Linked DNA regions of Diceros bicornis minor. The protein of the gene in region 1 interacts with the protein of each later gene in a pairwise test. Links are inferred from orthologs where the notes say so. Each region holds a gene or a part of one and is shown on either strand. Other genes may lie near its edges.

The links. The genes of interacting proteins can lie anywhere in the genome.
Region 2: the proteins of USP54 (region 1) and ATXN1L interact in binary tests that used the Homo sapiens proteins (3 or more experiments, as listed by UniProt). The link is inferred for Diceros bicornis minor from reciprocal best matches to the Homo sapiens genes USP54 and ATXN1L.

Annotation. Positions count from the first base shown.
Region 1 is NC_080745.1:32,953,946-32,957,693, reverse strand, and holds the start of USP54 (inactive ubiquitin carboxyl-terminal hydrolase 54), read right to left. Parts: upstream 2,613-3,748; 5' UTR 2,137-2,612; intron 1-2,136.
Region 2 is NC_080771.1:23,515,722-23,519,469, forward strand, and holds the start of ATXN1L (ataxin-1-like), read right to left. Parts: upstream 2,403-3,748; 5' UTR 2,318-2,402; intron 2,268-2,317; exon of another isoform or gene 1,445-2,267; intron 395-1,444; 5' UTR 327-394; intron 314-326; exon of another isoform or gene 1-313. UniProt on the Homo sapiens protein: Chromatin-binding factor that repress Notch signaling in the absence of Notch intracellular domain by acting as a CBF1 corepressor. Binds to the HEY promoter and might assist, along with NCOR2, RBPJ-mediated repression.

The DNA.
Region 1 (3,748 bases):
CATAAGCTTGTGTTTATATATTGTAATTATTTGTTTCTCTACCACTCGCCCCTCCTAGGCCCTGAACAATTCCAAAGCAGAGAGCAAGGCTTACTTGTATTTGTATCCTGAAGGCTGAATAATCAGACACAAAGTAGGTCTCAATAAATGTTTGTTGAATGGATAAATGAATGAATTAATCCTTTTTTTCCCCCTACAATGCCTTACACAGTACTCTACACATACCAGGAACTCAGTAAAGCTCATTAATGAATTCATGCAGAAATCTTTTGGACCCAACCACATGAACCTTTATCGTGCCTCAGAAAACCACTTATACTTTAAAGTTTACCTACTAACATTACAAATTAACAGTTTTAGTCTAACATATCAAATAAATAGGTTCAGTGAATAACTACATCAAGGCTAGCTCTAGAAGGATTTAAAATCCATTATTCTAATTAATGAATTTGTGACCCTCAACATGGGAAAATCCAGTTAATAATCAAAAGAGAGGTTATCCCCTGCAAATTTATAGCTACAAAAGATAGTGAAAAAAATTATCAGAGGGCCAGCCCCGTGGCTTAGCGGTTAAGTGCGCGCGCTCCGCTGCTGGCGGCCTGGGTTCGGATCCCGGGCGCGCACCGACGCACCGCTTCTCTGGCCATGCTGAGGCCGAGTCCCACATACAGCAACTAGAAGGATGTGCAGCTACGACATACAACTATCTACTGGGGTTTTGGGGGGATAAAAAAAAAAAATTATCAGAAAGCTTGTATCTATTGATTGAAATCGATAAATTTTTTTTATGTCTGAATTGAAGCCATTGTTTTCACTAGATAAAGAGTTAACAAGCAAAGTGGTCCAAACCTGTCTCTAGAAAACAGTCCTTGAGACTCAGAGATTAAATGTTTTGCCCTCTCCGTGACTGTAACTCCTGGGAGACTCCTTTTATTTCCAGATTGACAGATATTCAAAACTTGTTCTGTCTCCTAAAATAAAACGTCATCCATTTCTTAAAAGGGAAATAACCAAACAGGCACATTTTGGGAACACTAGGTTTTACATTCAAGCAACTAAAACTAACCCTAGTGTTCAGCCTGCTGCTGCTGCAATAGAAACACTTCTCTTAAGTTTTTAAGTTACATCGTGGAAGGTTTAAGTGTTGTACAGCACTTCCTTTCACTGTATCATCTAAACTGATTTTACACTGCATACATAATTTCATAAGTACACCGTAAAGGAATTCTACACTTGAATGAATCTGGGAAGAAACATGATCTTAGCACACACCCCCTTCCTCCAACTCAATACTCTCCAGAGGAAGCACATCTTAGTTTTTTTCCCTCAAGAATTTCTTTCTCCCGCCCCCACCCCACACTTTATTTTAGAGCAGCAATCATTCATTATCCCACTCACAGTCTCTCCACCGAAAAAACCGTCCCAACTAATACTAGTTCACCAGGACCCTCCTTTCAGCTGCTGGGAGGTCCGGGGGAGGAACTGGGGTGTAGTAGGGTTCAAGGGGCAGGGGCCGGAGCGTAGAAGGGTGTGTGTGTTGACAGCAAGCCTCAGAGTCCGTGGGGGATTTCTTTGGTAGGGGCGCGGGGCAGTGAAGGTCTGGGACGCCACCATTCCCGCCACGCCATTTAGGACCCAGTCCTGGCGCGCAGTCCCCGACCAGCCTCAGGCGCACCCCGGTGAGCTGCGAAAATCTGACACCGCGCCCCCCAATCCCCACCAGTGCTAAGCAAATCGGGCCCAATCTCTGTGTTCCCATTCAACATACCCTCCTCCTCGCTGTACCCCACTTTTTCCCACTTATTCCTCGATGTAGCCCGGTCCCTTTAGCCAGTTCTGAGTCCCTGTAATTCTCTTGCTCCCAACACACACACCCTTCTACACTCCGACCCCTGCCCCTCGAGCCCTACTACACCCCAGTCCCTCCCCCTGGACCTCCCAGCAGCTCCAGCCCTCCCCGCGTGCCCTAGTGTAGACTGGCGCCCTTTCCCTATACCCACAGGACCCGGGTCCTTCCCCACGCGTCACAGTTGGACCCATTCCTCCTGCGACCCGACCTTCCCCACCCCCTCCCTAGGCGCTACCCTCTGTACCCCGTTACCTCCGGCCCCGCCCCCTTGAGGGTGTCGCACTCACCTCTCCTGCGGCCGCATCCTTAACCGCCGCGGCTGCTATAGCTACAGGGAGCCAAGGCAACCAGCTCTCGCGACACTTTCCACAGCTACGGCGAGAACGGCCAAGAAGCGCCTCTCGGAAGAGAGTGAATGAGTCAGGCTCGAGACGGCTAACTATATCTCGCGATAGTACATACTGTGTAAAATGGCGGCCGTAAGGCGTCTAAGGGGTGGCCTGGAGAGGTCTGGAGGTGGACGAGGGCGGCGAAAAATCTTGAGCTGGCTGGAGAGCCGGAAGACTATTGTAGGCAAGACAGTCTGGGCTGGGGGAAGTTAGTATGGCGAACCCTACACTGGAATTAAAATTAGGGATGTGGCCTTCTTTTCCCAAGTGCCTCAAACTTAGAGCAGTATCACCCTTAGCAGAAGTTACGTTTTCCTGGCCTTTCCTTCTGCATGCGGAGTAGTTAGAGATGGACCGAGCAAGCCAGAAATTGACCTTCCCGTATCATTACCTTCCTTCAGGAAGTTTTCATCCGTCCTTCCCCTACACTGGGTTTTCAATTGGTACTTGGCTTCATTGAAATGTTTATGTTTATCCACAGGTGCCCCACTCCCATCAGTTCGCCCGACCAAAATAGGAAATAAAAGTAAAAAAAAAAATCAAACGTAAGCACTCGTGTTCGGCCTTGAATGCGGAAGGGGACCGCATTGGTGTGTGATTTGAACTTTGTACTTGTTGCTTGCCGCCCTATGGACACATCCTTACTTAGGGACTTTCTCGACGCTTAGTTGTACGGCTTTCTGTCTCTGCTCTCAAACTGTAAATTCAGACTGAGTAGCATCTGGGACAAAAGGTGAATTGAAAGAACAGAGGGGAACAAATAAGTGAATAGAAATAATAAATGGAGAATTCATTTTCTTCTCTTCCAAGCCTCTGATTAGCTCTCATATTCTAGACCAGTGCTGTCCAGTAGAAATAGGTTGTGAGCCACATTATGCAATTTAAAATTTCTCATAGCCACATTTTTAAAAAGTAAAAAATATGAAATTAATTTTAGTAATGTATTTAACCCAACGTATTCAAAATATTTCGACATGTAATCAATATTTTAAAATTACTGAGATATTTTATATTCTTGTTTTCATACTAAGTCTTCGAAATCCAGTGTTTATATTTACAGAGCATCTGAATTCAGACTAGCCACAATTCAAGAGCTCAATAGCTACATTTGGCTACTGACTACAGTTTTGGACAGCAAAACTCTAGACCCAAGACTAGGGAATGCACTATCTGGGTGACTTTAGGGGCATAGTATTATGGGCATGTGGTTTATGTAAAAGAAACCCTTGAAGTTGCTAATTCAAATGGCTGCAGAGGCTAGGCATGTAACAATAAAAGGTTACTTGGTGTAAAACAATAGGTAGTAGTGGTAACTAGGACCCTCTGGAGAGTACAAGCTCCCATGTTAAAGGGAACTCTCCTGGGCTCCTGAGTTTTAAAACATAATAATGGCAACAGAAGATGTCTATGAGCAGTACAGACAGCTAACTCTGCTGCCAATATGTGGTCTCTGTGAACTGGGGTATTCAAATGTATGAAACATTTTTGAAGAAAAGATGTTTTAACAGAA
Region 2 (3,748 bases), on another chromosome or scaffold:
TAGGTCTCCTCTAAGAAACCACATCCTAAAATTCTGGTTCCATTCCTCCAAACATGCCTGTTTATTTCTATCTTAGGGTCTATATGATTCATAAGAAAGTTCTCTCTCCCCTTTCTCTTGTCACCTTTCATACACACTTTTGTCCACTGTTATAAAGTATCTTTTTGGTGTGAACACGCCAATGCATATAAACTTTGTCACCTGTTTCTTCCAACCAAGCTCCAGTTCTTTAAATCTGAAAAGAGATTTCTATACACTGTTCTATTTTTCCACTGTTGAATCCCAGATGTTTTTCTGCAACAAGGTATCCAAAGCACCTGTATTACCTGAGCTTCCAGTGGTGCTTCTGAGCAGCTGTAATAAGAAGCAGTGTCCTCCCCCCTGGCTTGGAAGCCTAAAAGACAGAAATAGGAATAAAATAAGCAGGAGCCTAGCCTCTGATCCTTTCCAGGGTCATGAAGAAAGACATTAAAGCCCACAAGTCTCTGCCTCGTCCTCTTCTCCAGAGATAACAGCACATATATCCAGAGTGCTCAGGCAGTTGAATAGAGAAAAATTCATCTCTTAAGCTCTAATTTGTAGGAAGACATCCCTGGAAAAAATTTTCCATGTATCAAACTTCACTGTTTTCCTTTATATCATATTCTTCATTCTCTAAGTGTACCTATTCCCCAAAGGTTAAATTTACTTCCGATTCCAATTTCAGGTAAATGCACAAATAAAAGTGGAAGACTCAACATTGTTCCCATGTGAACAATGGGAAACAGGAAAAATCAACTTCACAGATTTCGCTTTTATTCAGGGCCGATGAAAACAAAGATGTGGAGGTTATTTAAATGAGAAAAGTGGCACTAGAGGAAAAAGAACAATTATTTATGTTTCTGGGGCAGAAAAAGAGGTCAAGGGGGAGTCACTCAGGGGGAAGCCTTCTTAACAGATTTTCAGAGTAATAAAATGGGCTCGCGTGTGTGTGTGTGTATGTGTCAAATTTTCTGAGTAACAACTTTGTACCAAGTACTGAATCAGGTGTGACAGAAACTGAAAACATTGCTTTGGTCCTCCCAACAGTAGCTAACAATGGAACTCTGGTAGCTTTGGTAGCTAACAATGGAAGAAAACTCACGCTAAACCATCAATATGTGAATCTACACATGCCAGAAACATCAAGCACTGAAGAATGGAGCCTTAATCTCTGATAACAGAGAAAGCAGTACTGATCAGTACTCTGAGAAACTACCCACTGTGCTGATCAAGTCCTATAGAACACTGCAAGCCTCAAATCAAACTGAAGGCAACATTTATCTCCGAAGATTGGCAAAGTGCGGATGCACAAAAAAAGATGACGAGATGGGAAAACAAGATGGAAAGACAAATTCCTAGTTCCATAAACAAATTACACACTGGGTACAAGTCTTGCATCCCTTCTCCGCCTGAATTCCAGTACCTGAAAAGCACTTAGCTTTCTCCTTCACTCCCAACAGAAATTGGGGTCACGTCATCAATCCCAGAATGATCCTTGCTCCCTGCATCTAAAACATTAAAGAACACCTGCCTCTAGGTCACTGAGGGGTTAGCCAAACACAGGCTAATGAAAGGACTTAAAGTGGCAAGAGGTCTGCAGGAATGACAACAAAGAGCCAAGCCTGTGCACCAGGTTCCCACAACACAAAACACATTTCGGAATCTGAAACCTCGGCCTCTGAAGGGGCACACTGAGGATTTCTCAATGGGAAGACGCACTGTGACTCCAACCGAACTAACGGGGAAGAGGGACCATTCCAGAGAGCTGCCAACGCTGCCAGCAGAGCCAGGAATCAAGAGGCTGAACCCAGCCCGAGACCCGAATTGGCTGAGGGCGAGAGCTGCGCCCGCCAGAAAGAGAGGAGCTTGGAAGAGACTAGAGACTACGGCTTCCCATGATCCGAAATCCTTGCTCCAACAAGGGTAGGGGCGGAAATTGTGAATTCTGCGTGTAGAGGGTGGGGGTTGACCCTTCAAGCAGAGGGGCAGGGGCGAGGCCCCGGAGGGGATGCTTCCTTGTTTGGGGGCCTCTTCCCGCCCGGAGGACTCGGATACCCCGGCCCGCGGAGACACAGTGGCGGGGACGCCAGGGCCTGAGGCTCCCTTCTCGGCCCGACCGGAGAGAAGCGCAAGGGGGTCTAGGCGCGGCCTCTTTCGCTCCCTCGGTCCGCAGTTGTCGGGCCCCGGTCCAGAGAAGCAACGGGCTCCAGGGGGCCACTTCCTCCGGAGCTCCGAGCCCAGGCCTGCTTGGCCTCAGTGAGGGCAGCCGGCGGTCCCCACTCCAGGCGACACTCACCCGCCCATCTCACGGCGCTCCTCGGGCTCCTCTCGCTCGTCCCGGAGCCGCCGACACCACAGCCGCCGCCATCCCCGGCCCCGGAGCCGCCCCACACCCAGCGCCCCCCAGCCGGGCGCCCGGAGATGGCGTCAAGCGCGTCCCGCCCCCGGCGCGGGTAGATTGCGTCACGGCCCGGGCCGGAGAGCGACGCCCAGGAGTACCCGGGAGGGGAGGGGGCTGGCCAACCGCCCCTCGCCCCCAGCGCCCTCTCTAGTGGGAAAACTAACTTCTGTTTCGGGGCCGGGTCACGTGAATAGGGCTGGGCCCGGCCCCCTCACCCTGACCCCACAATGACCCCGTTATCTCTTTACTCCAGTAAATTCCGGGGGTTCCCAAATAGAACCCTGGGGCGTGGTCATCAAGAGACCCTCATTTCCTGGACTTCCCGGGCCCAACTCGTGAAGCATCGTCTTGGGAACCTCGGGAACCCCGAGGCAACCCGGGCCCAGGAGAGTAAGCAGATGCCCCTGCACATCCAGGGTGGAGATGGGAGCTCTTTAAGAGTTGAGGGCGCTCTGAGGGGGATGAGAATGGACCGGACCCAGGATTTAGAAGAAGGTGAAGCAAGTAGTGGGAGACTTGAAAGTCTATGAGGAATGAGAGGAAGGGGTTGGGTAAAGTGGGAAGCAGCTTGGTTTGGTGGAAGAGGGCTTGACTACTCAATGAAGTATTAGGTCACCATTCATTGCCAAGTAACTAGTTGACTTCGTAGTAACATAAACATCTGATTAACTTAAGTGGAAAAAAATGAACACCAGATGAATTTGTGCTTTGATTACACCTATGTAAAAAAGTAGTTCTGCGTACAAATAAAAACTAAACTGAAAAAGAATAGGTTTAACTTTTGTAGAGATTGGATTCCGAGTGGATTTTTCCGCTTTCTGTTTCTACAAACTCTTTTCAATAAATAACAATTGATTTTCATTTGATTTAAAAAGTACTGGCTGGGCTCTGGTCCCTACTTTGTAGCTGTCTGACCTTAGGAAAGTCATTTTACTACTTTAGAATTGGGTTTCCACTTCTGCAAAATGAGGAGCTTGAACTAGATGGAGTGGGAGTAAATGTAGATAGAAGAGCTCTTTAAACATTTTAAGTGAAAAAATAAGCAAACTTGCACAGTGAGATATCATGTATTTAATATTAAAAGACATAACATTACAGTTGCATATATTTCTGTATCTGTACAGAAAAGGAGTAGAGGATATGTAACAACTAGTTAACTTTGCTTATCTCAGGAGAGGAAAGTGGAACTGGGTGGTGGCCAAAAGGAACAAAAGGGACTTATGTTATTATTTGGATTTTTTATGAGAATATTATCTTAGAAATATTGAAATGAGTAAGTTAAAATACAAATAAAGTATATGATCTCTAAGATTCTTTCTAAGGAAG